Linked DNA regions of Arabidopsis thaliana. The protein of the gene in region 1 purifies or fractionates together with the protein of each later gene. This does not show direct contact. Each region holds a gene or a part of one and is shown in the gene's direction. Other genes may lie near its edges.

Evidence for each region.
Region 2: the proteins of EIF2 (region 1) and AT1G66070 fractionate together in Arabidopsis thaliana (co-fractionation; one large-scale study listed by BioGRID). This does not show direct contact.
Region 3: the proteins of EIF2 (region 1) and AT5G24710 fractionate together in Arabidopsis thaliana (co-fractionation; one large-scale study listed by BioGRID). This does not show direct contact.
Region 4: the proteins of EIF2 (region 1) and AT2G44070 fractionate together in Arabidopsis thaliana (co-fractionation; one large-scale study listed by BioGRID). This does not show direct contact.

What each region holds. Positions count from the first base shown.
Region 1 is NC_003071.7:16,695,941-16,704,039, reverse strand, and holds EIF2 (eukaryotic translation initiation factor 2), read left to right. Parts: upstream 1-3,730; 5' UTR 3,731-4,110; coding exon 4,111-4,356; intron 4,357-4,540; coding exon 4,541-4,620; intron 4,621-4,768; coding exon 4,769-4,998; intron 4,999-5,225; coding exon 5,226-5,347; intron 5,348-5,429; coding exon 5,430-5,543; intron 5,544-5,618; coding exon 5,619-5,708; 3' UTR 5,709-5,999; downstream 6,000-8,099. Other genes in the region: HSPRO2 (ortholog of sugar beet HS1 PRO-1 2), read left to right, coding at 2,084-3,391.
Region 2 is NC_003070.9:24,593,774-24,602,272, reverse strand, and holds AT1G66070 (Translation initiation factor eIF3 subunit), read left to right. Parts: upstream 1-3,641; 5' UTR 3,642-3,906; intron 3,907-4,694; 5' UTR 4,695-4,752; coding exon 4,753-4,765; intron 4,766-4,963; coding exon 4,964-5,085; intron 5,086-5,212; coding exon 5,213-5,361; intron 5,362-5,484; coding exon 5,485-5,632; intron 5,633-5,723; coding exon 5,724-5,880; intron 5,881-5,987; coding exon 5,988-6,079; 3' UTR 6,080-6,464; downstream 6,465-8,499. Other genes in the region: AT1G66090 (Disease resistance protein (TIR-NBS class)), read right to left, coding at 1-52; AT1G66080 (hikeshi-like protein), read left to right, coding at 1,246-1,348, 1,448-1,917; AT1G66060 (hypothetical protein (DUF577)), read left to right, coding at 7,141-8,088.
Region 3 is NC_003076.8:8,463,500-8,471,582, reverse strand, and holds the start of AT5G24710 (Transducin/WD40 repeat-like superfamily protein), read left to right. Parts: upstream 1-3,409; 5' UTR 3,410-3,662; coding exon 3,663-3,794; intron 3,795-3,879; coding exon 3,880-3,964; intron 3,965-4,045; coding exon 4,046-4,085; intron 4,086-4,175; coding exon 4,176-4,424; intron 4,425-4,739; coding exon 4,740-4,839; intron 4,840-4,951; coding exon 4,952-5,026; intron 5,027-5,604; coding exon 5,605-5,703; intron 5,704-6,100; coding exon 6,101-6,217; intron 6,218-6,298; coding exon 6,299-6,414; intron 6,415-6,501; coding exon 6,502-6,601; intron 6,602-7,257; coding exon 7,258-7,616; intron 7,617-7,724; coding exon 7,725-8,052; intron 8,053-8,083. Other genes in the region: AT5G24740 (vacuolar protein sorting-associated protein, putative (DUF1162)), read left to right, coding at 1-66, 163-273, 357-461, 617-686, 819-1,510.
Region 4 is NC_003071.7:18,229,120-18,236,595, reverse strand, and holds AT2G44070 (NagB/RpiA/CoA transferase-like superfamily protein), read left to right. Parts: upstream 1-3,965; 5' UTR 3,966-4,126; coding exon 4,127-4,147; intron 4,148-4,264; coding exon 4,265-5,109; intron 5,110-5,188; exon of another isoform or gene 5,189-5,206; intron 5,207-5,216; coding exon 5,217-5,271; intron 5,272-5,418; coding exon 5,419-5,499; 3' UTR 5,500-5,731; downstream 5,732-7,476. Other genes in the region: AT2G44065 (Ribosomal protein L2 family), read right to left, coding at 6,228-6,775.

The sequences.
Region 1 (8,099 bases):
TATATATATTTTTTTTAAAACGTAATAGTATAGGATGTATATTAAATGATATGAATAGTGGAATGATTCAGTAACCAAAACAATATAGCTAAAGAAAGTGTATTTATTAACATATATAAAAAGTTGGTTTTAGGGTAAGACTAATGCCTCGAATTTACTAGTTGTAACATTTTATTCTTTTTAAAGAGAATATGTGTCTCGAATTTACTAGGCGGGTGTAATTGGTTGTAGAAAAACGTTATTGTTAAAGATGGCTTTGATCAGTGCAAAGTGCAAACAAGTGACGTACGTAAAATAGATGTAAACAATACCAATTAAAACATAAGTAGTTATTTGAAAAGAAAACTCTTAACATAAAGAAGATTATAGACCACTAATTTGTATTTCAAACTATATAATCATTTGTCCTTTGTTATAATCTACTTGTCTAATGTCTAATATGTAATGGAAGAAATGGTCTGTCTTCACTCGAACCGTTTCCAACTGATAGTATTAATTAAATTCAATATCCAATGTACCGATAAATTAACAGAAACATCCATGAAAGTCTTGGTCACAAAAAATATATTTCATGCACTTAAAAGAGATTTGGTGAAGAAATCTCAAAACAGTCTTATTACAATCAAAATTTATCTATCGTATATAATAAATAAACAAAAAAATCGGTGAGATTAGAATATTGAACTGGAAAAGAAAAAAGAAAAACCAAAGTCAAAGGAAACGACAGCTTCCAAGTAAAACACTATTAGAAGATTAAGTGAGACCAAACTCCAACCTTCCTCACATATTTTGGATAAGCTTCGCATCTATATTCCTCCTACTTCCATGTGCCATTCCTTTTTCAATTCATAACACGGCACCGTCTAAATGCTTATCCACACTACAATAAAAAATAGTCATTTTTATTATATACGCGTTTCAAATACTGATAACACGATACAGTACTAATTTAGGGGACACTATATTTGTGAAAACTGCGGACTATACACTTTTCTAGTATCCAAATTTAATTTTGAGCAATAATTTTATCGTAACGTATATTTGTCTTATAATGCTCCTACTTGCAAGTATTATCCTAATTGTTTGACCTTATAGATAGAGCTTTTATAACTTTTGTAGGGAAACATCAAACATGTATTAAAATCTCTAGTGTTGCGAATTTAAGTTTATGCTTTCTTGAGTTTCTTTAATTGCCCGTCATTACGCTACTAAAATTTCACAATTTTGTCCGTTTTATACATAAATATACATAAACAAATACGTGATTTTTCTCTCTTTTTCTATTCAATTCATTATAGAAAATAAATGACGTTTTTCATATTTGCAACTAAAACATTGTTTTCTTTCAGTTTTATGTGGTACATGACACCTGTTATGTTTTACGATTGTTGATATATATTCAAAACACCATGTGCATGATTAGTTGAACTTGTAGCTGTAGATCGACAACTATCAAAATTATTATATATTTGCTTCGATCAAAAACTATCTACAGCTTGTAAATATTGCTCATAAGTGACAACCCATAACGCATGACTGACTTTCAAAAATGTATTTGCAGAAAATTTTATATTCTTATCGATCAACCCCTAAATGTTATACTACATCGCATATATCATCAAATAAAACATTTCTATATATGTATTAACATGTTATGAACATGACTGTGTGTTTTAACTTTAACTTTTATTAAAAGATAATATCTTACCAAAAACGAGAAAATATTCGATATTTCCTTAGAAATCAGATTACTGAACATTCGACTAATCATCAGGCATTTACCTTTCATAGAAAACAGTTCAAAAAGCAATATAAAGCCAAAAAACGAAAAAAAGATTATCCTGAAATTAATCCACAGTACTGGTTTTTTTTTTTTTTAAAAAGGAGACCGCGTTTCTACGCTGACTTTCAAATCAGTCGCGTCGGTATTATTCCACACGCCTTTTTTCTCGTCCCCATCCTCTATCCACATTTCTCTCTATATATACTCTCCTCGTATCCTAAACTCATCCTCAAATTCAAAATTTAACACACAAACACAAACACACACACCAAAAAAAACACAGACCTTAAAAAAATAAAAATGGTTGATATGGATTGGAAGAGGAAGATGGTATCATCAGATTTACCAAACTCACCTAAGCTTTCTTCAAAGCTTCACGTAACTATTCCATCACCGTTCAAAATCGTCCCTGTTTCATCTCCGATCTCATGTTCAGCACCTGCTCTTTGCTCTGCTTACGAGCTTTACCTTCGTCTCCCTGAGCTAAGAAAGCTCTGGTCATCTCGTGATTTTCCTCAATGGACATCAGAGCCGATTCTCAAACCAGCTCTTCAAGCTTTGGAGATCAGTTTCAGATTAGTTTTCGCCGTTTGTTCTGATACTAGACCGTACATCAACCACCGTGAATGGAACCGGAGGCTAGATTCTCTCATCACGAAGCAGATCCAGCTTGTAGCAGCGATCTGCGAAGATGAAGAAGAAGAAGGTATATCAGCGGAGGCTCCGGTCGGCGGTGGACGGAGTTCGTTGAGTTTGTTACCGCAGCTAGCTACGTGGAGGAGATCAGAGGCTTTGGGGAAGAAGATCTTATATACGATCGATAACGAGATGAGTCGGTGTAAGTACACGCTCGGACTCGGTGAACAAAACATCGCCGGAAAACCAAATCTCCGGTACGATGCGATTTGCCGACCAAACGAGATCTATAGCCTCAAGGATAATCCATACGCAGATCATATCGATAATCACGAGAATCAAACTCTCTATATCATTCACCAGATCCTCGAATCGTGGATCTACGCATCTGGAAATCTTCTGAATCGAATCGTCTCAAGTATCGAAGAAGAGAAATTCGGAAAAGCTTCAAACGATGTTTACTTGCTGGAGAAGATCTGGAAAATTTTAGCGGAGATTGAAGATCTTCATATGTTGATGGATCCGGAAGATTTTTTGAAATTGAAGAAACAGTTACAGATCAAATCGACGGGTAAAAACGATGCGTTTTGTTTCAGATCTAAAGGATTAGTGGAGATGATGAAGATGTCGAAAGATCTGAGACAGAAAGTACCGGCGGTCTTGGCGGTTGAGGTAGATCCAACCGGAGGACCAAGATTACAAGAGGCGGCGATGAAGCTTTACGCGAGGAAGACAGAGTGCGATAAGATTCATTTGCTTCAGGGGATGCAAGCGGTGGAAGCGGCGGCGAAGAGTTTCTTCTTTGGGTATAGGCAGTTAGTGGCGGCTATGATGGGAAGTGCGGAGATGAACGCGACGGCGAGTCAAGAGTCGTGTGACTCACTGAGTCAGATATTTATGGAGCCGACGTATTTCCCGAGCCTTGACGCGGCAAAGACGTTTCTGGGAGAGTTTTGGAGTCATTTGGGATGATTAAATTTTAATTTCTGCTGGTATAATTATTTAATATAAATTTAAATTGGTGGTTTGGTTTAATTTAGTTTGTAAGATAGTGAAATTTTTGGAACATTTGACGATCCATATTTGAATACAAATTCATTTTTATATGATTTATGAGATTTTTTAACAAACGATAACATTTACGAATATCGTAATCCATACTTTGAATTATCCACAAGTCGTAATTCAAATATGGGTGGTCTACTAACGAGTAACGACTAATCTATATGCTCTGACTAATCGTCAACAAATCACCACCTATCCTTCGTAGATGTTAGTGTATGAGAAAAACACAATTTCACACCTATCCTTTGTAGATGTTAAATTATGAGAAAAACACAATTTCACTTTCACAGTGTATAATATTCAAAATTCAATGATAAACACACACACAAAAACGTTATAAAAAACCCAAACCGACGATGAGTAACCAAACCGATGTATAAAACGACATTGCCTTTCTCTGTTTTTTGTGTTCAACAAATTTCATTAAGAGAAAGAAGGGAAGTGTTTGAATGAGTATTCATTCATTAGTCCAAGAAAAACATTTAATGGGCCTGTTTGTAGGCCCACTGGCACATAACCTATCTTCTGTATCATTGATGCCTTCTCCTACCTTCCTCTGACGCTCACATCGGAAACCCTAAATCTCCACTCTCTCGCGCCTTTTACCCCTTCTCAGAATCTTAACCATGGCGGCGACGAGCGAGCACACCATCTTGCAATTTGTGTCTCCGTCATCAACGGCGTCCGCTACAACCTCTGTACTCACGGCGAGGATCCACCCTCTCGTTATCTTTAACGTCTGTGATTGCTTCGTGAGACGTCCTGACTCAGCTGAACGAGTCATCGGAACTCTCCTCGGATCTATCTTACCTGACGGAACCGTCGATATCCGCAATTCATACGCCGTCCCTCACAATGAATCATCCGATCAGGTTCGAAATTTTGATCTCTAAATTTCTCCTCTCTCTCGATTCTCTATCGTTGGAGATCCTAGATCTTTCGTAGCTGAAGATTTGCTTGTTAGGATGTGAATGTTTATAGGAGTAGTGTTAGCTTCATACCCCAAGGTTGTGACTTGTGATAAGTTTTGAGGGTTATGGTTTGATATGGATGCAGGTTGCTGTGGATATTGATTACCACCACAATATGTTAGCTTCACACCTTAAGGTGAATTCAAAGGAAACTATTGTCGGCTGGTACTTCTCGTTTCCCACTCTTATTCTCTTATACTCTCATGATTAGTCTCATATCTTTGTCACATGATTCTTGTAGCTGTGTTGGAACACTGCATTAGGTAGTTTCTCATTTTGGAATAGTTGATTGAACAAGTTTATTGATTTGCAGGTATTCAACTGGTGCTGGGGTTAATGGCGGTAGTTCGCTGATTCATGATTTCTATGCTAGAGAAGTACCCAACCCAATTCACCTAACTGTGGATACTGGGTTTACTAATGGTGAGGGTACTATCAAAGCTTTTGTCTCTTCAAACCTCTCACTCGGTGATCGACAACTCGTTGCACATTTTCAAGAGATTCCTGTTGATCTCCGCATGGTTGATGCTGAGAGAGTCGGATGTGAGTATTCTATCCTTTTATTAGTAACCAATTCTATATTCAAAATACATAACAGTCCTCATTCCTCAATTGTCTAAGTAGTTCAGTTTCTGCATGGTTGATTCAGTATCTAGAGATTGTTTCCCTAATGATTGTGAATGAACCAACGGGAATAGATGATCTTTGGTTGTGTCTGTTCAGTAGATTAATGATTGTGACTGATTTAAAAACATCATTTTGATCCACAGTCGATGTACTTAAGGCAACATCTGTTGACAAACTCCCAAATGACTTGGAAGGAATGGAGTTAACAATGGAGAGGCTGTTAACTCTAATCAACGATGTCTACAAATATGTTGACAGTGTCGTGGTAAGCTTATGATATCCTTGACTGTCTATTATCGACCATAGATACATGATCTTTGATACAGAGTTTTAATGAAATTTCCCAGGGAGGTCAAATAGCTCCAGACAACAACATTGGACGATTCATTGCAGATGCAGTAGCCTCCCTTCCCAAGTTACCTCCACAAGTCTTCGATAACCTCGTGAATGATAGTCTCCAGGTAAAAGATTGTAAATTTCAAGCCAAAGCAAAACACTTTGTAAAAAACTAATGGTTGTTTCTTCTGTTATTTCAGGACCAATTGCTTCTGTTGTACCTATCAAGCATAACAAGGACACAGTTGAGTCTAGCGGAGAAGCTAAACACAGCTGCTCAAATGCTATAATAAGCTTGGAAACACAAGGTTTTGCTAAAAATGGGGAATGCTGCTTTTTTGGTTTCGAATTTTCTTTTAACAAGTTTATGTAAGAATCAGCTTCTTGTTGTAGTGTTCCTAAATTGCAAGTTTAAGAAAGACAAAATGCTCTGTTTCGTGAATTAAGGTCTTTAAAAGGGATTTTTAGTTGGTGTGCCTAATTTTAAACAATATACATATAAATGAGCTTTGTTCTTTTTTTATTTGCCACTTGTTGCGCCTAATCTTTATCACTGGAGATATTTATGCTCAGAATTTTGGATCATGGTCTCTCTCTATTAGCTATGTTACATTGAAAGAGTATAGAAGCCTAGAATTACTGCTTTCTCTTTTGCCGTATTGCGATTGGCCTATGTAGGATCTTACAAAACAGGCTTAATAGACACTATTGGAAACTAACTTCTAAATTGTAAACAATTTGCGATTTGCGGTTGCATATAATAATGCTAACTTTGGCATATAATAGACACTATTGGAAGTTAATATCTAAATATTACACAACATTTGCGATTGAAATCATTCAGCAATTTTTTCATTTCCTGCTTTCACTACACAACTAACACAATCAATTTTTTTACCCGTTTTTTTGTCTTTCTGATAAGCTAAATTAGAGCTACGGTTTATGTATCGGAATACATTAAACTGATTTCGCTGAATCCGAACGAGTATTTGAAGTTTTTGTGGTTAAAAACTTGATTATTTTAGTTTGTGTTGTAAAAACATGAGGGGAGTTTTTGTGGAATGGATTTTGATAGCAAATGTATACGCCTGTTTCTCTGTCAACATACGTACTACATACGATGTTATACAGACATATACGACCGTACCAGTACATGTACATATCAAACTTGAGAAGAATATGTGTAGGCCGGTGTGTAGATGGGTCAACATTAAAGACGTGCATGCACTTGTGATGTAAGTGAACAACTTGCATACATTGTTCACAGTAATCTAACTTATCATTCCACTTCACCCACCTTCACTCTATGGTTATTGGTCTCCATAGCCTTTGCCTTTTCTCTTTATTTATACATTGACGTAGTATCATACGTATTAGTGCTAACCGATAAATTAATATTCGAATCATTTTCATAGTAGTTGTGGGTTACATTTATTTAAAACCTGAAAATTTACGATAATTTGCAATAATTCTCATGATTTTATGAGACGGACTAAACATAACACGGAGAAAACACATACTCGACGACTAGCTACAACTATATTTATGAATTAGGGATGGGCACTCGACTTTTCAATACGATCGACATCATATTTTAGACCAAAATAATTCTTAAAACGCTCTTTGATAATATGTGTAACCAAAAGAGCCACCCATTCATATATGGTCCCGTGATATATTATCACATGATCTCTATTCAAACTATGACATGCATGGTCCCGGCTGTTTTAAACCTAACGATTCGGACAAGTTATTTTCATGCTACATGGATTAGTAATTGTAAGTAGTTTAAATACAAGCTAGATTGTTGAGACGTCTCCATATTGTTTCGTGCAGGTGCAAAAGACAAAACAAACGACAGGCATACGGAGAGACGTACATACGTAAAAGTCTGTCTAATATAGACTTTGTCTTGTCTATAAATATAATACAAAAACTGAAATATATAGTTGAAAAAAGAATTATTAATTATGTTATTGAAAATATATCATTACTTTTATCTTAGGTATAGCTTTTTAAAATTTTATTTAATCATTTAATTGTTTATACGTGACTCAGCTGGCATTAGTTTTTCTTTATAATCCCTCATATAGTAGTAGTGGTGGTTATGCTTATATTTTTTTAATCATGGGCATTTATTAGAATAATACACTTATATGTAAATATAATGTCAGCTGTCCTGAACATATTTTTTGGTAAAAAAAAATACTAGCTAGTTACTTGAGGGTTGGATTCTTTCTTTTTGTCACCAATTTAGGTTTGGGTTCAATGCACTTATATGACAATGGGTTTCAATATAGAAAATTCTTGTGTCTTAATTATCAAGAATGACAATACTGATTTTAATCACCCGTGAACCTAAAAGATGCAGAGTGCATGGCAGGTCAGTACCTGATACATTACTTAATTTTATAGTGCAACAATCATGTTTAAACTGAACTCTCGCTGAGATCATTCATTATGGACCGTTGTTTTCGGTTGAAATTATATATCTATTTGAGTTATTGAAATTATATATTGGGATCTATATACAGTAAACCATTATCTATTTGTATGCGTACGTAATCAACATCCCGTTGATGAACCACATAAATTTGTTGTGTGTTTTGACTTTCTTCATAAAACCTCCATTTACTTGGCATGGACGACATACCAATTATCAAAATGTCCCATTTCAAATG
Region 2 (8,499 bases), on another chromosome or scaffold:
AAGATAAAGAAGAAGATGATGATGAAGAAGAAGAAGAAGTAGATGCAGCCATGAGTGGTTTCAAAATACAGATTCAAAGAGATGTGTCTGTTTAAGCATTTTACGGAACCTTTTATAGAGGAGTGGCAAAGCTTATGGTGAAGGAATGTAATGAGAAGTTTCTTTGCAATTGCAAAGTAAACAAAATTTTGAACTTATTACGAACAAAGTTAGAGAAGAAAAAAGAACAAACGAAAAAAGAAAAGTCAACATTGGTTTACGTGAGTTTGCCTCTTTATGCCAAACGCGTAATGGTCTAATGGAATAAGACAGGAAAATTATAATTTTGTTTTGGTTAACGAAAGACCTCATTAATACGTCAAATAAATAACGGAACTATGGAGTAACTGAAATAATGACGGAGCGAATTGAATTAGTTAAAGTTTTTATGAAATAAAATGCTGAAAACTAGTTTTAAGTATATACTTTTTGCAAACGTAAAAATATGTAAATCAAACTTGATGAATATCTCAAATAGCAGAGAGTAATGGAATCATATTTTTCATACGTGAATAGATGGTGTACCAATCATCCCTTAGACTATATACATTGGTTTGGTTTTTCAACACTTTTTTTTATTTTTTTTCATACTCCATGTCATAAATTTCTCGACCACCTACTAATTTAATATTTATTTAATTTTTAACATTTCCAATAGTTTGTTTAATAAATACAAAACTATTTATAGAGAAAAAAAATATGATGAATTTTGATATAAAAATATATATAAATAAAAATTTTAGTATACTTGATGTTAAATAGTTAGGGTGAGATTAAAAATTTTAATATCCAATCAGAAATGAATATGTGTCATTTATGATCCCATATTTTTGGTTTCAACATGTTGAAAATATTTAACAGAAGTAAATCCACATAAGTTTTTTTTTCTTTTTCAACATCTTTATTGTAATGGTTCAACTGTTGAATTTCTTATTTATTGAACACCTCTATTGTACATGATTTTAGGTAGAAAAATGAAATTTCCAAAAAATAAAATAACGTTAATCTTTTCCGCGGTCACACAAAAAAAAGTCTTCGTGCGGAGTACATAGCTCTTTCTCAAATCTTCTAGAACCATCTTCAAATTCTTCACCCTCTCTCTTTCAATCATCTACATCACTCCATCACTCCATCACCAACATAAACTAAAACTTCACTCACATTAAAAAAAAATCAAAACCTTTCAAAAAAACCAAAAACTCAACAATGTTCGGAGTCGTCTTCCCCAATCGAAGTTTCCCAATAGACATCTCAACCTTCACTCAAATCGACACATTCCACTGGGTTCTCGACATGAACCACTTCGTCGGTAAGTACCCATCTCCCCAAAAACCAAACTTTTCAAAACCCTAATTCCCAAAATCAAAAACCCTAATCGAAAAATCCAACCTTTTTTCTTTTTTTACAGGTGAAGCTTATGATCAAATCTCAGAGATGTGTATCTTCTTGTTAAACAATTTCAATCTTCCACCAGATAAAGCTTTAGCTGTTTATGTTCAATCTCCAGGATCAGCTTTTGTGTTCTGTGGTGCTGTAACTTTAGCTAGACCTTCTGCTGTTTTATCACTTCAATGGCCTGAACCTGGTAGTGCAGCGAAGATGCAACTCACGGCGGGTGATTCGAGTTCCTTATCGGCGAAGATCGGTGTTTCGGTGGAGGATGTAGCAGCGTTGAGGTCGTTGGATGTTGTTGCGGAGAGGAGGATTGAGAAATTGGCTATGAAAGTTGGAGAGAATTTGTTTAACTTTATGCAGTCTTTTTGTGGTGTTGATGGAAGTAAATTGGTTGTTCCTATGGATATTTTGGATCGTTGGTTTAAGAAGTTTCAGGAGAAAGCTAAACGTGATCCTGATTTCCTCAAAAGCTTTGCTTTGTAAGGTTAGCGTTTTTGTAACATTTGATCTTGTGGTTCTATGTGATGAATTGAACAAGAGATTGTAGTTTTACTTTGTTTGTCAATGTTTATTAACTAGTTGATCATACTCTGCTTTTAAGCAATTTAAAGTGTTGAACTTTATATCTTGTTGGTTTGAGGTAGATGAAAAGGTGAAGATTTAATCTGTCTTGTGTTGAGGAATGAATTTTGATTCTTAGTTTTTGATTAGCTCACTTTGGTATACTGTGTGGTTGAATCCATTTGATCTTGGGTTATATATGATGAATTGGAGGAGAGATTGTAGTTTTACTTAGTTTGCTAGTGAGATAATATGAGGGTTATGAATATTTTGGTTTCAGTGTTCTTCTTGCTTACATATGAATCACAGTTTTAGTAGGTGGAATGGTGGATACTGTTTCGTATCTATTGTTCATAAGTTTATACTCTGCTGTTAGAAATTTAAAGTGATGAACTTTCTCTTGTTGTTTTGAGGATTGAGGTAGATGAAAGGGTTAAGATTAAATCTGTTCATGTTTTTATGATGAATCTAAGACAACATTTTAGTTTACTTAGTTTGCCAATGAGAAAATGTGAGAGATATGCATAATTGCTTTCCATGTTCATATTTTTTTCTTCGGTTAATTTAGTGCAATTCAACAGAGGAAGGTTTGACATTTTTTGGTCTAGTAATATATGATTCAGTATTTGGTCAGAGGATAGTTTAACAGTTTCAGTGTTCTAACTCACATTATAAATCATAGTTTTGGTAAGTGGATGCTGTTTCAGATTCTGGTCATGTTCATAGGCTCAATCAACCTTTGATCTTAGCAATATAAAGTGTTGAGCTTTATATCTTGTTGAATCGAGGTAGATGAAAAGTGAAGATTTAATCCATCTTGTGTTGAGGAATGAATCTTGATTCCTAGTTTTTGAGAAGCTTCAGTTTCTTACAGTGTGTACTGTGTGGTTTTACCCGTTTGATCTTAGGTTCTATATGATAAATGGAAGAAGAGATTGTAGTTTATTATAATTTAATCTTATGTTCTATATTTGTTTTCAACGGTTAATTCAATATTTTGTGAGAACTATATGAGTAGTTGCAAAATATGAATCACATATACATTGAGTGGATACTGTTTCAGATTTGGTCATGGTCATAAGCTCAAATGTAGCTCTTAAGTAATTTAAAGTGATGAACTTTATTTTTGTTGCTTAGAGGTGGATGAAAGGTGATGATTTAACTCAGCTTGTGTGTGAGGAATGAATCTTGAATCTTGAATCTTGATTCTTGTCCACTATATCACAGTAGATCGTTAATACATTGATCTAATCGATTGAAGTTGTTGTTTGATATGGTTCTAGATTGGCTTACCAACGGCTTCAATATTCAATGGACCTAAACAATTTGTAGAGTCAAGAAGCTTACAAATATTCGGGATAATCTGACTTGGATGGACAACTCTAGTTGTCTGATACATACGATGAATCAAAATCAAAGCCTTTAACTTAAACTTCAATCTCGAATACATAAGTATTTTCTACAATCGATTGCACACATGTGAGAATACCCTTCAACCCTCATTTGCAAAAAGTACTTAATACTTGGTCAGCAAATTCAAATCATTGTGCAAAAACTCCAAAAAAAAATGATTAAAAACGGAATAAAAAAATGGAGAGTGTAAGATGGAAAAAGTTACATGTTGGGGCCACGGTGATCGGTTCGACCGTATCAGTCTAACCGAAATTGACCAAACAACTTTGGTCTATACTTTGATCGGTTCGACATGTTGGGGCCACGGTGGAAAGGCTTTATAAAAAGGCATAAAATCTAACGAAAAACAAAAGGAAACACACAAAAGCCCTAAATCTCTTTTTAACCTCTGAAGCAAAAACCACCACATCGGAGATTTCTAATCCAACGAAAACGCTTCAATTTTCTTGCGATTTCTCTTCCTCTGCGAAAAACCCTTTTGGATTCAGACTTTCCTCGGTATGTTTTCTTATCAAAGGGTTTTCCTTTCTCAGTTAAATTCGCTTCTAGATCTTAATTTTCGATTGATTCTCTGGTGGGTTTCTATAGAATTGCTCCAAATTATGATTTTGATTTGATTTGATTTCTTAATGTTGGGTTCTCGAATTCATGGTTAATGATTCAAACTTTATCATCAAAACTTCTCTGTGTGTAGTGTAGATTACTATGACCAATTCGTTACTTTTTCTCTGCTCTTTGTTTGCATGATGATGTTCAAGTTGAATCCTTTTTTTATTGAAACAAGGACTTCTTAAGGTTTTAACCATTTTGATTGATTTCGATTGAGGAATTCATATCGATGTTGCAAATCCATAGGATTGGATTACCAAAATCAGAAGGAAATTATTAGTTATGTGTTTAAGATTCTTGTGTTTTGGGGACTGTTTTTGTTTGGTATCTCTCTAAGAGTTCATGGAACTTGTGTTCAGGTTTAGATAGCTGACATGCCTGTAATAGTTTTAATTGATATAAGATATCTTGTCTTTTGTAAGCATTAGATTTAGCTGTTTTTCCTGGGTGTGAAATATTAGGCCTATGTGTTTTTGTTAGCTGTGAAACCTTGATTTGTAAAGTAATAGTATCAGTATTCTCTGTCTATGATGTGAAGTTAGCAAGCTTACTACAAGTAGTTTAAGCATATTTACACATGGGGATCAGTGTATTTGATTATGTGGATTGAATGATTGATCAGTAATGTAGTTTGATCAAATAAGCGTGTTTCTGATGCTTACGCGTATGTTTGGCAGGTTTACCAGTTGGACTCAGATAGAAGCTTATATCTGTACCTGATAATTTGCAGCAAATATGGATGACTGGGGTAAGACTATGCTTTAAGTGTCCTCTCTTATATTCTCTATTTGTATCTAATTATAGTCTTCTTATTTATTTATAGTATTTGATTGGATATGCAAGCAATTTTGGATTATTTGCTAATCTGATGGGTTTCATATTTGATATTTCAAAATCGTATCACTAGCATGTGAGTAGTCTTATAATTTTTATTTTCTGATTCCAGAGGACGAGAAAATTGCACCACTTCCAGCAAAAGTTGAGCTTAAAAGTAACTGGGATGATGAAGATGTGGATGAGAATGAAATTAAGGATTCATGGGAGGATGATGATGATGAACCTGCTCAGGTATAGCTTAGTTTTTACTCTCTGTAATTCTTTCCCTATTGGCTAGTGGCTACTACGTATAATTTGGTTTGAGATTCCAACGGGAATATTTATGTTTTGTCTGCTTTGCCTTGTTGTTTTTCTGTAGCCGCCTGTTATAAATCCTGCTCCGGAGAAGGCTCCTAAGAAAGCAGCCCCCAAAACTGTTGAAAAGAAGGGTAAAGCAGTCGAAGTTCCAAAGGAAGCACCAAAAGAAAAACCTCTAGATCCTATAGCGGAGAAACTTCGCCAGCAGAGGTACAGTTTGTAAATAATATCTTTCCCACACATAATAATTCACTTTAATCTTTTGTACTTTGTGTATGGAAGAAGGCTGTGAAGGTCTATGTGACCTTATATGTTATATTCTTTCTATCACAGGCTTGTTGAGGAAGCCGACTACCGGGCAACTGCTGAGCTCTTTGGAGTGAAGGATGATGACAAAAACCTTGATATGTTTATCCCCAAGTCTGAAAGCGATTTTTTGGAATATGCTGAAATGATTTCTCATAGGATTAAACCATATGAGGTATGTTGTATTCTGCCTTATATACCTTTATTCTCATTGGCTAGTATTGAAGCTCATGATGTGTGAAAATATAGTTTGGTTTCTGTTGCAGAAAAGTTATCACTATATAGCGCTGCTCAAAACAATCATGAGACTTTCATTGACCAACATGAAAGCAGCTGATGTTAAAGATGTTGCTTCGTCCATTACAACGATAGCAAATGAAAAACTAAAGGCAGAGAAAGAAGCTGCTGCGGGAAAAAAGAAAGGTATTATTCTGAATGTGTTACTCACAATCACTTCATCTTTGGTTTATAGTTTTATGAATGTGTTATTCTGAATCCGTTTTTCATGACCATTGGCATTGCTTGATCAGGTGGAAAGAAGAAACAACTTATTGTAGATAAGGCCAATGACGATCTAGTGGCTGGTCCTTATGATGCCATGGATGACTTCGACTTCATGTAGATTAAAAGAGCTTTTTGAGCAAATGCAAATTGGATTTGTCCAGCGTCTATTTTATCATTTATCTATCACTCAAAAGAAACACATTTTTCTTAATTTTGGTTTGAATAGAGCAAGAAGAGCCAAATTTCTGGTTGCGGAAATATATAGTTGGAACATGGGAAGCTTTTGTTTTGGTTTGGTCTGGGAATTCTCTAGAGTCATGTTTTTGGTTCTATTTGTTGGTTGAAAAAGCTATACTTAAAGTGTCCGTATAAATTTATTATTGACATTGATCTGATTAAATCTCTTTGGGGGTTGAATTTCTTATAGACATGAGTGCGTTTCATGTTGTCCAATCTTTAAATACTGCCTCTTGAGTAAGAGAGAAAATGTTGATTCGTTACAATTCGCTAATGTTAGTAGTAAACCTTGAAACACGCTAATATCATCATGACTTTACATTAGCTAATAACATAAAGATGTGAATGGGAATGACATAAAGAATTCATGGGAGGATGATGATGAGTTTTTAACTAAGGAACTCTAATTCCTTACTAGTTAATTTCCAACAACAACACAGTGACTGTATTGTTTAATCTTCTTAATTGGTGGTTGAGTTGCTTCTTCTTCTTCTTCGGACTCTGTGTTGTTTCCTCCGGAAGACATTGTGTCAACAACTTCAGCCTCTTCCACATTCTCTTTTAGGAGAAAGATTAGTGGGATTGATTAAAGAAAGTAATCATATGAATTGATTGATATAATTCTCTGTAATGTAGACTCTTAAATATGTTACAATATCTACTCTCTAAGATATTCTTTTTATAAGAATCTTTTAAAACTTCAAGAAGATTCATTTAATGATTTCCAGTAATGGTGAAGAAAAATATCCAACTAAAAACAAAAAAAAGCAGAAAAATATCCTATCCTATCATTATCCTAATTTTAGAAAAAAATAAATAAAAAAAAAAGTTTAACAAACCTAATTTAATCGTGCGTAGATATATCTAAAGCAGTGATATACTTTTCTTCTTCAACCGTTTTATAGACTCTATTGATCTCCCGGAACTTTCTGTTACCTTCCCATGGATAATCAGAAGTCGCCGAAGCAACCAACCTCCCAAGACTTCACCAAAGCCGCCTTCAAGCTTCTTGCGAATCCCCACGTTGAACCGACGGTGGAATTCATCGCCGCCCTCACAAAGCCACCGGAGAATCCAGAAGATAAAGACATCAAGTTCTTCCGTTTCTGCGTCGCCAATTACCCGGGATGCTTCTCCCTCAAGCTCATGCGTGTCTATTCCTCGAATGATCCACGAGTCCCATACCAGATCAGAGAGATTGCGATGATATTACTCCACGTTATCTTCATCATAGAAGAAGCCTCTTTGAATTTGGCAGTGGTTCACATACTTTCGCCTATACTCATATCATGCCTTGAAGAACAAGTTATCTCGAACAACAGTTTAAAGATTCTTTCCATGCTCGTGAACCGTGTCGCTTTCGAGATATTCACCATTCAGGAAGAAACGTGGTATGACCTGCGTGAGTTTATCTCGTCTAAAGCGGAATCAGAGTTTGCGAAAGCGGTTTCCGTGTTCAAGAGCTTGTCGATGCCTTTGGATGGAGAGGAGTTTTTGATTCCTCTCATGGATAATCTTCTTCCAGCGATCTTAAAACGTTTAGGTAACAAAGAGGAAGAGAGTTCGAGCCAGTGGGGTTTGGCCTTTGTGGGTGGTTTCTGTGCGGCGGTTCACTTGTTGGAGACGACACGTGTTGATTTGGTGGAGAATCTTGCGAATGAGATGTTGAAATCGGTGAAGAGAGGAATGGAATTAGGGTTTCTTGGGAAAGCTCTTAGGGAAGTTGAAACCGCTGTAGTGGAACAATTATGGTGGTATTGTACTACAGAATTCAGATTCGTATTGGGTTTGATTAGTAGGATTGATGCGATTGTCACTGAGGAGACAGCGAAGAATGTGTTGCAAAGGATTAAGATAGTTGTGAAGAAGAAGATGCTTGAATATGTTTAAGAGATTGGTAAATGGTGACGAAGATTGGCTTAATGAGAGCCATTGAATTTGGATGCTTCTTGCCCAAGTAAACAAATTCTTAGGGAATGTTTTGGTTTTGAATTGTGTAGTTTGGGTGTTTATACTTTATATTTTGGTGTTACGTACGAGTGGATTAAATCAAACAGAGTTTTTGGATTTATAGTTTTTTGCATCTTTGGTCATTTACTGGAAAAACTTTAAGCTTTAAATTTTTTACTTTGAGATAATATATCATTATTTCTTTGTGTTCATGGGTAATTTCACCATTGACTAGTTACTTTTTGTCAACAGACCGTTTGATACCTCTAAATAAACATGTGAAACAAGTTACTCTGCGCTAGATCATATTCATGTGATCTTTTTTTCTTTGTAGGAGACGAGAACTTCTAC
Region 3 (8,083 bases), on another chromosome or scaffold:
TTTGCGAGGAATGTTGCATTTGGAATTAAAGATTTCCTGTCAGCTCCCAGCAGGAGTATCTCAAAGGTTATGATTAAAATCTCTTTTTGTTGCTTAACATTTTCATGTAATGTCTGGTTTAGTCACTTTTAACTTATATGCTAACCTAGATTACTTGAACAGAGCCCAGCAGGAATTATTCAAGGAATGGCTCACGGAACCACAAGTCTCTTCAGTAGCACTATTTATGCTTTAAGTGATGCTGCCACTCAATTTAGTAAAGCTGCACACAAGGTACGATGCATCTGTTTGCTTAAAAATCTATGGTGTAGACGCCTCCTTCAAGAAATATTTACAGAATTACCAATTCGTTGCAGGGTATTGTTGCATTTACATTCAATGACCATGATGTTGCAAGGATGGAGAAGCAGCAATTGGGTGAAGGATCGCGTAGCAAAGGAGTTATAGGTGAAGTGTTTGAGGTATGTTATTTGCACTTTCTTTGGAAGTATGTCTTATATACTGATTTGATGTTCACTTAGTCTTGAAAGTTACTTGAAGTCAGTGACTTCTGTCAAATTCTTCTGAACTTGCATAAAGAATTTAAGCATGCCAGCTGACACGATGTTCATCACAGGGACTCACTGGTCTCCTTCAATCACCAATAAGAGGAGCTGAGAAACATGGTCTTCCAGGCGTTATCTCAGGTATTTAAGCGAGAACCACCGCTCAAGTCATCTATAGACATTCAAGACATTTGATGTTCGTGTACACGCTGTCCTTTTGTTTCTGGCTTTCTAATTTTATGCATGTTAACTGGGTGCCTATATATGGTTCAGGAGTGGCCATGGGGATTACTGGACTTGTGGCCAGACCAACCGCTAGTATCCTTGAGGTAACTGGAAAAACCGCACAGAGTATAAGAAACCGAAGCAGGATTCATAACATAAGATCCCAAAGGCATAGGCTTCGTCTTCCGAGGCCTCTGAGTAGAGAACAACCTCTCAGGCCTTACTCATGGGAAGAAGCGGTCGGGACAGCAGTACTTATGGAGGTTGGAGATTCCCTGAAGTTCAAGGGCGAGAAGCTGGTGAAGTGCAAAGCCCTGAAACAAGAAGGAGCTTTCGTTGTAATCACAGGGAGACTGGTATTGGTTCTAAGCAGCCTGAGCTTGGTAGATTTCAGAAAACAGGGATTTCTCGGAGTTCCAATAGATTTGGTATGGAATATCGAAAGAGAAATCGGTTTGGAGAGTGTAATACATACAGATTGCAGCGGTGGAGTAGTCCGCATCATAGGAAGCAATTCAGATGGTGTATGGAACTGGAGACAGGACCAGCAAAAGAAGAGCAGCCCGACCAAAAAACGATGGAACAATCCTTCAGCACAGCCGCTTCTTCAGACTAACTTAGAGTTTCCATCGGAGGAAGAAGCAGAGGACTTGTTGAGTGTGTTGTTATCGACTATTGAAACTGGGAAAAGCCGGAGCTGGCACAGTCGATTTGTTTTAAGTCGAAGTAACATCACTTAAACCGGAGACTTGCGTACATAAGAATACAGTAATTCTTTAATTTTCTTTGTGTACAAAAGTGGCTTTATGAAACTAGTTTTAGAATATATGGTCTGACATGTTTTGGCTATAAAATTTTTTTTAAAAAAAAAGCGTAATAAATCGAAGTGTATTGTACATGGATTGTCAGGCATCATCATGATGCTCATATATGTGGCATCATCATGGTGATGCTGTTTTTCATGCGGGAGAAATGTTTTTACCAACATCAAATCGTATTGCTGCGGAGTTGAGAGGGATATTATGGGTACTACACAGTCTATGTGATCTACACTTCTATAATATTGAGATTTGGTCCGACTATGGTGCTCCTATGGAAGCCATTAGTGACCCATTAGATTGGCCACGTATTTATCTTATCTTGATAGGATTCATTGGTTTCTCCCGAATTTTGATAAGATCGTATTTAAGGTTTCATCGCACGAGATATAGCCACAAGCGTAATGAGAGAAGGTCGATGCAGATCATATTTAGCTCGTGGAAGTCCGATGTGGTTACACTCGCATTGAAGAAGACAAGCGGCGTTGATTTTATTGTTCTTTATTAAGTTAAGATCTTCTATAAGTGTATGAGGAAAACAAGTTTAGACGGGAAAAACAAAAAATCGAAGTGTATTGAGTAAACTTCAATGAAACCTGTAAAGAAAAAATTAAATTAAATTGAAGATTAAATAAGACTTTAATTTTGATTGCAAATCTTTTTATCGAATTCTAGATTTAGTTGTAAACATAGTAAACCCTTATTACACCAAATACTATAGTCATTTTGTTTGAGATAATTCATTTGGAATTCTCTTTAAAAGTTTAGTGATCGGAGGCTTCTCGATTTTCTCTCTCTTCTCTCACTTGAATTTTTCAGAGAAAGAAAAAGCGATTCATGGCAAGACTCCGTCCAACATCGTTCGGCTTCTTTAACGACGATGGTTGGTTCGTTTCCAGCATCAATTGGCTTCTTTAGTGGTGGTGGCTGGCTTTTGTATCCGGACGTGGTCCGGCTTTGCCGTCTTATCTCGCCGTCTGGTTTCTACTTTTCTCTTTAGTGGAATCCGGCTTTAGTTTCCAGTTCTTTGATACCGGTTTTACCTTTCTGCTTTTCAATAATCATTGTGATCTTAGTACCAATTTTTTTTTGGGTTTTCCTTATCATCCTCTTTTCTCAAGCTTTTTTGCATCCTTATTTAGATGAAAGTCAATCTTTGTTTCATTTCTAATCTTTACCTTTTGGGTTTTAATCAACTATTAGAGTTTGTTTCAACCTAAATCGATTCTCTCAATCCTTTGATTTAGAATCTCAATTCGGCATATCTGGTAAGATTTAATCATCAAGAGAAATCATGGTTTTTTATTTCTCTTTTGTCATAGATCGTTGCTGTTCTGGAGAAATTTAGATCAAATATAAACTCTGGATATTGTGGAGCAGAGAGTCAGATTTACAAGCGTGATGAGATTGTCGTAGAGGAAATGGTGGGTTATCGGATTTGATGGTGGTGCTGGGAGATAACGATGAAACAATCATCGGCGTAAGAGAAAAGTCACATCCACGTGTCGTATGTTGCTTTGACTTGTTTTATTAGCGCTGTACTCTTTACTACAAGGTGTTTAGTTGTACCCTTTATGGATTTGTGAAATACTTTGATGACTGGGCTTTAGTGATGTTTGTAAACCCATAATTTGAATAAAAAAGAAACTTATGAACAAGAAAAAAAAAAGTTCAGTGATCCAACGGATCCACAATTAATTTCCGTAAATGGAATATATTTTGCGACAAAGGAAAGGGCTAAAACAATTGTTATTGGGCCTTTTTTTTTGGGTTAATCAGACTAGCCTTCGCAAATTCGCGCTTTACGCGTTTCGCGTCTGAAGACACTACCGGAGTTTTTGTTCGGCGATTGTAGTTAGTGGTGGTGGATCCGGGCATTTCATTTGATAACCGCGGTGGATCTAATTGATCTGGATCTGACCATAGCCCTGCTTGCTTTTTCTGGAAATTTTTAGTGTGTAGCTCTGGAGAGTTTCTCGTGAGTCGAATCGTCTATGCGGATGCAGTTGTGCTCAGATTTTTGAGTTGTCTAATTGATCTTGAAGAACTGTGAGAGAGAGAGAGAGAGATCGAAATGTTGCGGGCGAGAGCATTTCGGCAGACCAATGGTAAGATTGTGAAGATACAGGTACATCCTACGCATCCATGGCTTGTTACGGCTGATGATTCAGATCACGTCTCCGTCTGGAATTGGGAGCATCGTCAGGTCTGTATCGAGATTCTGATTTGATTTTGGTTCCGGTTCTGATTTCGAATCGTGGATCTGTCAACGTTTATGTCTATTGTGTTAGGTAATTTATGAATTGAAAGCCGGCGGAGTTGACGAGCGCCGTTTAGTTGGTGCCAAGTTAGAGAAGCTCGCCGAAGGAGAATCCGGTGAGCCATTGTTCTATTCTGGTGAAATGAGTATGAGTTTCTGATGCTTTATGTTCTTACTGACATTCGTATTTTCCTCAGACTATAAAGCTAAGCCTACTGAAGCCATTCGAGGAGGAAGGTAGTAGATAGATCTTTCTCGCTGCTAATTCAGTTGCTCCTTTCGATAATGAGAAAAATGACTTATCTGCTCAATGTTTGCACCTACTAGCGTTAAGCAGGTGAAGTTTTATGACGATGATGTGCGTTATTGGCAACTGTGGCGCAACCGCTCCGCAGCTGCTGAATCTCCATCAGCTGTCAATCATCTGACATCTGCTTTCACTTCCCCTGCTCCATCGACTAAAGGCCGTCATTTTCTGGTCATTTGTTGTGAGAATAAAGCTATTTTCTTGGATTTGGTGACAATGCGTGGTCGTGATGTGCCAAAGCAAGAGCTTGATAACAAGTCACTTCTCTGGTAAGTTCATTGCTTTTTCTCTAATTTTAGGATATGGGTTTGCTTGACACCTGGACCCCGGGGAAGATGCTCCATTACTTTAGGCTTCCTATCTTTAAATCACTTGAATCCTGGAAAGACCTCCGTTAGTTACTACGCTGGAAATATTTGAGTCAAATGTAGACTAGGCATAAGTGTAATGGATATGTGTGTTCTAAGTGTAATGGATACCAGGCTTCCTTGATGTTTAATGTTCAGTCAATGGCCAAACTCCCTTTCTACATTTTTAATTTCTACTCCTCCTTAATGTTGCTAGAATTCTTCCTTTCTTTGCAGCATGGAGTTTCTTTCGAGATCATCTGGTGGTGATGGCCCTTTAGTTGCATTTGGTTCAACTGATGGTGTCATTCGGGTTTTATCAATGATAACATGGAAGGTTTGTTTGTTTCAAAATTATATTTTTTTTTTTTGGTTTCTCTGCTGGGTTTAGAGTGAGGGATTTTGATACTGATCTGTGTTAATTTCCTTGAATGTTTACTTCCTTGCAGCTTGCACGTCGATATACAGGTGGCCATAAAGGATCCATTTATTGCTTGATGAATTTCATGGCATCATCTGGCGAAGTAACTACATATTCCCTATATATGCCCTCTTTATTGCTCTGAATTTATTTCGAGTTATTTACTTAATATGTTAATAGTTAATACCATCTGATAGATGAAAGTGTCATGTAACTTAGAAAAACATACTCAAGATCACCTACTAAGATCGACTGTATATATTATATGAAAACGAGGTCTTGAGCATATCGTCTTGGAAGTTTCCTACATATATCTCTTTCTTCTTAGCGACGTAAAAATCTCACATTCTACTAAGTGGGAGTCCAGACCGCAGCAGGCCTTACTATACGGATACCTGTTTTACAATCCAAATATCTAGCCTTAGTTTCTTAGATCATCTGTACTCGGGTTAAATTTCATGCATAGCCTAGGCATTAGGAGCGGCGGGAATTTTAAACATTGGCATCTCTTTTCCCAATTGCTTGTTTAGGTTATGTTAATAGCGAATTTCTGATAGTACTGGGCTTTCTTCCCTTTTATATAACTTGACGTTTTTTAATGAATGCTTATCAAGTATTTTCTCTCTGTTATTTATGTGCAATACATGATACTAGCCATCCTCTATCTAAATGCAATTGCAGGCACTCCTTGTTTCAGGTGGCAGTGATGGCTTACTTGTACTGTGGAGTGCCGATCATGGCGCTGACTCAAGGGAACTTGTACCCAAGCTTAGCTTAAAGGTACTCAATTATGCCCACTCTTTCATTCAAAGTTCAAGAGAGGATATTACCATGACCGTTCAATTCTTAGGCCTGGAAAGATTTGCCAGATTTGGTTACAGCTGAGGCTAAGGCACCATTGTTCTTAGTTCCAGTGAACCTTCTGAATTGATTTCTGTGTCTGTTTCTGAATGTTGGATACTTGCATTTAGATATTCTTTCATTCTTTTTATAAAAGGCTGAGTAATGATTAGGGGACTATGACATGCTCGTGCTTTTTTTTTTTTTTTGGTGTAATAGACATGGTCATGTTTGCTTAATTGAGTGGATAATTTCCACTTCTCTGTTATACTTTTTTTTTTTTTTTTTCCTAATCCCTTCTTGGCTTCTTCTAATGTTTTTGTTCTGATTGTATTAGGCACATGATGGTGGGGTGGTGGCTGTTGAGCTGTCAAGGGTAAGTGGGAGTGCTCCACAATTGATTACAATTGGGGCTGACAAGACATTGGCCATATGGGATACAATGACATTTAAGGTAATGGTGTATCTCATGTATGGATTTTTCATATTTTCCCGATCTCATTTATTAACATGCATATCTACTTTTATTCTACAGGAGCTACGTAGAATTAAACCTGTCCCGAAACTAGCTTGCCACAGTGTTGCATCTTGGTGTCACCCTCGAGCGCCAAACCTTGATATTTTGACTTGCGTTAAAGATTCACACATATGGTATCTTTGTTTAAGATTTGGTATTGTATATGGTAGAATATATTTATGTATATTAGATGAGTGGTCTAATTGTTTGAATTTTTGCAGGTCTATTGAGCATCCAACTTATTCGGCCCTGACAAGGCCGTTATGTGAACTTTCTTCCTTGGTTCCGCCTCAAGTACTTGCAACCCACAGAAAACTTAGGGTAATTAGCTCATTGTTGATGAAATCCTCGAAATCTACCACGTATCATATCATTTCTTTCTGCCTGCTAGTTGTATACTATATCAATAGCTCATGCTCAAGCCTGAGCATGAGCATTGCTCTCTGAGGCTCCATTCTATGTGTCCCACAAAACATTAGTTTCTCTTCTTATCTCGTAAAATGCATCTATTATGGTTCAAATGATGAAGTTGTGTAGCTGTATAATATTGCACTTGGCAATGCAAAGGTATTCTGACTCAAGTAGACTAGGAATAAGAATAAGAATAGAATACAACTGTTTGTATTACTTCTTGCAGAAAAGTTTTGTATATAGCAGACTTTAAATTGATAGCTGTTTGAACACTAAATTTATCTAAAAGAAAATTGCAATGGAGAAGATACGTAATCTTTATGTCAGATGGTGATAGGGAAAGCACATGCTGCACCCGAAAGTTGAAAGTTATTCCTTTTTCAGAATTTGCAGATAATATTCGGGGTTCATTTTCTACTTGAAACCGCCAGTTGATGATTTTCAAAGATTGCTAGTTTCTTTATTGCATAATTATAATAGCATTGCTTCTGTACTTCTTTCGCTTTCATGGCTTCCATACATTGGTAGTAACCCTCATCAGGTACTTATTAATTTCCATTTTTTAGGTCTATTGTATGGTTGCACATCCTCTACAACCACATCTCGTCGCAACTGGTACCAATGTTGGTATTATAGTTAGTGAATTTGATCCTCGTGCTATCCCGTCTGCAGCTCCTCTACCAGCACTGCCTGGAAGTCGGGAGAATTCAGCTATATATATCCTTGGAAGAGAATTAAAGCTCTTGAACTTTCAACTATCCAACACAGCCAACCCATCCCTTGGCAATAATAGTGCCTTGTCCGAATCAGGGCTTTCTAAGGGAGACCCAGGTGAACAGTTAACTGTAAAGCAAACCAAAAAGCAGATCGTGGCACCAGTTCCACATGATTCATACTCAGTTCTTTCTGTGAGCAGTTCAGGGAAGTAAGTTCCTTAGCTAATTGTTTTTTATGAATATAATTTTCTTCTTAACTCAGCTAATTTGTTGAGTTTTTTTTTTTTTAGCCAGCTAACTTTATTCTCTGATTGTAGGTATGTGGCAGTTGTATGGCCGGATATTCTATACTTCTCTATCTACAAGGTTAGTGACTGGTCCATTGTTGACTCTGGAAGTGCAAGACTGTTGGCGTGGGATACATGTCGAGACAGATTTGCGATTCTAGAATCTGTGTTACCTCATAGAATGCCTATAATCCCTAAGGGTGGTTCATCGAGAAAGGCAAAAGAAGCCGCTGCAGCTGCAGCTCAAGCTGCTGCTGCTGCCAGTGCAGCTTCATCGGCTAGTGTCCAAGTTCGTATTCTCTTGGATGATGGTACCTCAAACATACTCATGAGATCCGTAGGAGGTCGCTCTGAACCGGTATGTGTCTGTTTTTTTCATTTATACCAGA
Region 4 (7,476 bases), 1.5 Mb from region 1:
ATAATGTTTTGTTTGTTTTATATAATCATTTAGAGTTGTAATCTATTGAAACTATGGACGGGGAAACGTACTAATTAAAGATTCGAATTCCTCGCGCACAAAAAATTGAATATGAGAAGTGATAGCAATAATCAATAGATTGAATTCGGTGAATTACCAAATTAGTTTGACAAATATATTCAACATTTATCACTTTTTTTTTGTCATAGAACTGTATAATATGTATATGTATATGTGTGTGAATTAATTAAATTTTCCAACCTAATAATAATGTTGTCTATGTGTTATCGACCGATGATGACCCATATTGTTATTCCTCTCGGCATTTCATGTGGTGGCTATATCATATTATCGTTTTTAGTGGGACAGTTGGTCCAATATTTATTTCTCTTTCGTTTTATGCTTTTAATAGTCAGAAGAAATGCCAACTTAAATTTATATAATTAGGGAATTTTGTATTTTACATGATACATAAAGGATACATAAGTGGTCTTATTATTATTATTATTATTTATTTTAAAAAGGGCTAGGTGTTGTTTAGTATGATTTAAACAAAAAAGTGATATAGTATTAAATATCGTACTATATTAAAAATGCTATTTGTTAAAAATACAAGACAGCTTATTATTTTTAAAAACACATAAAATAATATATTAAGATTTTTTTTTTTTCATTCATTATCTTTCAGGTAAACCGATATAATTTATTTGTTTAACAGCCTAAAAATGTAATAATTAAAATATCTAATGGATATATTCATAAGTACTTTTCGTTGGGTGTTTAATTAAGAGGGACATGATAATTTTCGCAAGCAGTTTAGTTTCAGCCGTTCTGGTATTAACCAATTGACAGCTTACCAAAATCCACTACTCATTTTTTATTTTTTTTTCAATCCAAAATACTTATTTATCCAAATTCAATGAATCGCATGTATAACATCTATTGATTACGTCTTTTCTACTTTTTTTTACAAAGGAGAAATGGTTTTATTCGTCAACTACTAGCTAAACTCCCAATGGAAATGACATTACTATTCTACAATTATAATGGCTCAAGTAGACATAATTACAACAAAACTTCACCTCCCGCTTTAAACAAAAACAAAACTTAATTAACGTCAATAAAAAGATGATGCAGACTTTTAAATTGTTAGAACAAAGTTTAACAACTATATATAACTGATCAGTTATATAAATAGCATATACACCATAGTGATATCTTCCCGATCTTAAAAGATATTCAAATTATCTTGTGGATATGTACTTGATTCGATATCTTTGATTTTTTGTATTCATGATCTTATGGTTAGGATCGATGCCACCAGTTCCTATGTAAACAAATAGATAATATGTAGGTAAATAACATTGCTTATACCAATCTAAATGTCAGTTAAGAATATATTGATACATATGTTTATAATGCCTTACAGATTTATAGAAAACCCATATTTGATTATAGTGATATATATAAGAACGTATACAGAGAGCGCAATCTCTTATCCAAATCAGAAAAAGATTTCAATTCGTAGCCAAAACCAAGAAAGATATAAGATATAGGTGAACTATAGGAGGGTGTTTTTTTTACTCGTAATTCCTTGGATTCTATTGGTTAATCCATCATCCATAGTGTGTGTATATTTAATTTTTAGAAAATTAGAAAGAAAAAAATTGTAGAAAGGGAAAGCTATATAGAAATGGCAACCCATGCATGATTGCCTTGAACATCGCAAACCCTCCCTTAGATTGCATGTCTAGTGGAACATAGTGGACCTGCAACAATATTCAACAAAAAATTCATATTATATACATTGCATAATGCATAGTAGGACATAATAAGATGAATTATTATGCTCAATAACAAGTTTATATGATATGCCCACAGTTTCATCACATATACTTGAGTTTATTAAAACGAATGATTCTATTTCTCTATTAAGATTAGCCTTTATTAATTGTTAGTGGTATGAGATATATTGAAGAAAATAAGTATAAGCAAAAAAAATGTTGATAGAAGAATTAAATAAGCAATAATTTCAAAAGGTATGTAATGTGGATGAAACGGCACATGTCGTTGTCACGTGGCTCGTTCCCATCGATTCAATGCATATCTCGACCAACTTGACTTATTAATATTCCTCGTACAACTCTCCAATCTAAAGCCACCTTTCTTCTACGTTATACATTTTCTTTTTCTGTTTTCTTTTAAATACTTTCTCCTCACAAATTATTGTTTTCTATTATCTAAAATCAATACCGTTAGGAAATGGTGTCTTTATAACACTTTAGAAAAATATAATTAATCATTTTCTAATGTATTATTTTTGTAATTGAGTAATTTGATTTAAAAATATAAACTAATATAATAATATTGGTATTTAATCATTTCAAATATTCTTAATTATATTCTTTTTGAATACACGCATATTGTTCTAAACTATTAATTTCTTACAAAAATTCTATATTATTTATTGTGTCTACAAACAAAAGAGTCGTCTAATCATTTTTGGTTTCATTTTTTTTTTGCTAGAAATCAAAAACAAATTCCTCATTTTTTTTGAGGTAAGCTAATGTTATTTTCTAATAACAATCATAAGTAATACCCGTGGTTTAAAGTTTACACGGTATTAATTAGGTACTACAGCCATGGTGGACGGTGGATCTTCATCACCTAATCCGTACAATTAAGAGACAATTAATTACATTAAATCATGTGCATTAGTTGATTTAGGAACTAATTGATAAATCAACTCTAAAGACTAAAGTAGTGCGATAGATAAAGCTAAAGTATATATTTTCTTCAGTATAAAGATAGGAATATATGGGGACATATACTTTTGTCGATTTTGTATCCAGCTTTGCATCAGTGAAGTCTGAGCGAAGATATGACCAGACTTAAAAAGCAACTAAAAAGATGCATAACAGAAACACAAAAATAAAATTCATGCATCTGCTAGTCATAGAGGTTATTGGATTCATTGCACGTATCTTAATGATTCGTTTTCGTTTCACCTCCCTTGCTACAAAAGATTTGAAAGAGAAAATGTTAAATTCTTTAGGTCAGAATCAATTAAGATAATTTCATTTTCTTCTTGTGTTTTGTACGTCACTTGTTTCTTTTTTCGTTGGTTATGTACCAAAACATGAAAAGTTCAAAAATTGTTAATTAGAAGATTAAAGAGAAGAGTAAGAATAAAGATGAAATGAGGAATTGATATGGAGGAGTAGGACCCAAGTTTGCAAGGATGGTGGCTGGCTGGCTGCTCTGTTGTTTGTTACATCTCATTCTCAATCTTAATTCCAATTCTATGTGCTTCTTTCACTATTTCCCTATAGAATACCATTCTTGTTTTTTTTTTTCAATTTTCAAAAACCACTATAAGGAACTTTTTCAATAGTTGCTTGTTTGTTTAGACCAAGGAAGATGTCAAATAGATTTCTTCACTTTTCAAGTGGAAGCAAAATTATGCGGTCAAGTGTATTATACTAGTGTGTGTTTTTTTTTGGTTTAATACCGACTAATTTCTAACTCTAATCTATCAGTGAACGTCTTAAAACTAATATTGCTGAAGAATATATTGTTCTCTGCTACAGCCTACAGCATTCAAAGTTTCATCAAAAAGATAAAATGTATATATAACTAAAAGTTTTGGGTTAATAGATAATAGTCAAAGAAGACATTCGTGTTGAATGTTTCTTTTTTTTTTTTTTTTTTATCGTGGGGATTGATTCAATGCATTGTTCCAACCTTTTGACTCTTTCTCGTGTTTCCTTTTTTATTCGTTTTCTGAATTATACTTTTTAGACCCTTTCCTCGAATTTTTACTTGAGCCCTACTCTAGTAATACATAAGCATATATATAAAAATCTCTCAAATTTGATTAGGACAGTTTTAGTATATAAAAAAAGGAAAAAACGCATTGTTTAAAACGTGGTCATGACGAAAACGTTTGATTTCGATCGATGATATTTAAATAAAGGAAACACCTAACCATATTTATTCTTAACTGATCAAAGATCCTCCAATTTCACGAAGCCTAAAACTCTCAAAAACAGATTCAATAACGTCACCAAACCTTGAGGCTTTTTAAAGGAAGAAGCATTTGAGAAAATCGTAACTTCTTGACCCTATGCATTCTGCTGTGTACAAGGTATGGTTAGTGCTTGTAATATACAATTATATAATCTCTTTGTTTTAATAAGTGGTTGCTCATTAAGATGAATGTTACTTGTCTAGTGAATGAGTATGACGTTGTTGTGGTTATCAGGTTGGTCTTCATTATCTTTCTTGGGATATTTCTGGTGGCAATGCCAGATGTATTGCGATGCTCCAAGCATTCCAAGAGGTTGTTAAAGATTACTCGACGCCGCCTGAGAATACCCTTAATAGAGACATGACTGCTCAAATAAGTAGCTACGTCTCTTTCCTCATAGAATGCCGTCCGCTTTCGATTAGCATGGGAAACGCAATCCGATTTGTGAAAAACAGGATTGCAAAGCTGCCTATAACACTTTCTGAATCTGAAGCAAAAGCTTCTCTTCACTCAGATATTGAACGTTTCATTAACGAGAAAATCATAGGTGCAGATACAGTGATAGTCGAACATGCTGTCACTAAAATAAGAGACGGTGATGTCCTTCTGACCTACGGATCTTCCACTGTCATTGAGATGATATTAGTGCATGCACATGAACTCGGGAAAAAGTTTCGTGTCTTTGTGGTGGATTCTCGACCAAAGCTTCAAGGGAAGCTACTGCTTCGTAGATTGATCAAACGAGGCATTAACTGTACATACACTCATATAACTGCCATATCATATATCATGCACCAAGTCACCAAAGTGTTTTTGGGCGCCTCATCAGTTTTTTCTAACGGAACAGTTTACTCAAGGGTTGGCACTGCTTGTGTTGCAATGGTGGCTAATGCTTTCCGTGTTCCTGTGCTTGTTTGTTGCGAAGCCTATAAGTTCCATGAGAAGGTGCAGTTGGATTATTCAATATGCTCCAATGAGCTCGGTGATCCAAATGCTATTTCAAAAGTTCATGGAAGAGAAGACATAAACTACTTAAATGGCTTGACCAACAATGCAAAGCTGAAGTTTCTGAACTTGATGTAAGCTAGCTTGTGTTAATCGTACAAGTGAAACTATATATGTTCTGTTAATACTATTCTTCTCTGCCTGCCACTAAACCCGTTTGTGATTTTTTTTCTAATGATAGGTATGATGCTACACCTTCAGATTACATTTCCATGATAATCACAGATTATGGCATGGTAAGATTAATCATATCGGCTCTTAATTAAAAACATAGCATTATGGTGATCAAGTGATCTCATCCCTAAACATAACTCATGCAACACAGTTTCTCCACTCATTCAGAATCTCAAACCATTGAACACTGACCATGTTTTATATTTCAGGTACCTCCCACAAGTGTGCCTGTCATCGTAAGAGAATATCAGAAAGAACACTTGCTTCAAAGCTCAAAGATTGTTATTTAGATGCTCAAAATAGAAGTAAGAATAAAAATGAAATGATATGGAGGAGTAGGACCCAAGATTATAAGGCATGGTTGCTGTTCTGTTGTTTGTTACATCTAATTCTCATTCCTTATTCCAATTCTGTGGGCTTCTTTCACTATTTTCCCTATAGAATACCATTCTCGTTTTTTGTTTCAATTTTCAAAAACCACTATAAGGAACTTTTTCAATAGTTGGTTGTTTGTTTAGACCAAGGAAGATGTCAAATTGATTTCTTCACTTTTTTGATTAATGTTTTGGGGTAATTAATTAGTCAAAGAAGACATTTGTGCTGAATGTTTTTTTTTGCTGAATGTTTTTTTTTTATCGTGGGGATTGATTCAATGCATCATATTGTTCCAACCTTTTGACTCTTTCTCTTGTTTCCTTTTCTTTTCTTTTTAGACCCTTTTCTCTAGTATAAGCATATAAATCTCTCAAATTTGATTTCGACGATTTTAATATATATATAAAAAAAAGAAATTCGCATTGTTTTAAACGTTGTTATGATGAAAACGTTTGAATTCGATTTTTTTTTTTTAATAAAAGTAAACACGTAACCATATTTATTCTCAACTGATCAAAGATCTTCTAGTTTCATGAAGCCTAAAAAACTCTCAAAAAACAGATTCAATAACGTAACCAAATAACATTGGAGGCTTTTTAAAAGAAAGAAACGTTTGAAGAAAATCGAAACTTGTTCACCCATATCACATTTTGGCTGCTGCTTCTGCCAAACGCTTCTTCTTCTTCTTGACACTAGCTGATTTGTAACCGCCTTTACACGGTTTTCCCCACGGACTAACCGATGTCCTTCCTCTGCTTCCACTACTTTTGCTTTTTCCTTCACCTCCACCGTGTGGATGATCACACGGATTCATCGCCACTCCTCTAACTTTGGGCCTTATCCCTAACCACCTACTCTGTCCTGCTTTATATAGCTTCTTCGTTCCATGAGACGGGTTCGACACTGTGCCAATCGTAGCACGACATTTGGCATTGATCCACTTGGTGTCCCCTGACGGAAGCTTTATCAAGCATTTCCCTTTAGCAGGCTCCTTTAGGATCTTGGCGTTGGTTCCTGCAGCTCGGACCATCTTTGCGCCTTGCCCTGGGTTCATCTCGATGTTGTGGATGATTGTTCCGATACGCATCATACCTAGTGGCATGGAACTTCCTATCATTGAGTTGATGTCCATGTGGAGCATCTCTTCTTTCATTTGTGCTACCAATGATTTGTTCTGTGTATCAGCAAAACCTGCAAAACACCAACAGAGATAGAGGCTTTCTATCAAAAAATAAAACGCACACAAAACAGAAGATATGGATTTTGACAAAAAATAAAAAGCTTGATTGAAACTTTGGATCTCCAAATCCCTCAGGTTAAGTCACTTTTGAGATGTATATACTCCACACAGATCAATCTTAATTATAGACTAGACAGACTCAAGTCCCACAAAGTAGCTACATGCATCAATCAATGATACTCCACAGAGCTCAATCTTAATTATAGGAAAAGAATATAATCCAGCTAGCAAGAGACTTAGGAGAAGAATTAGATACAAATAGCACCATAGTTGCAGAGATCCCAGCTTAGGCCCTAGTTATAAACTTATTCTAGTTACATAGTATCTTAACTTGAAGTAGCATAGTTTTCAGCTCAATCTTTAATCCAAGACTAATTTATGAAGAAGAGCCGATGTGATACAAGCTCATTCTTTTATCATCTAACAAAAAGAAGCAACCGCACTTTCACACTAGCTCATCATCTAATCCAGAAGTAAGTAAGTTCGTTCATCCAGTTCCTAATCCATCTAGAAGAGGTTTGTAGCTTGATAAAACCCACAACATAGGAAAAAAAATCAACTTGACCACTTAAATAGAAGAGGCTAACATAACAATAGACGTTACTCAATGTTTTGTTGTTTGTAACAATACTCTGCCTAAGGAAAATGGCTT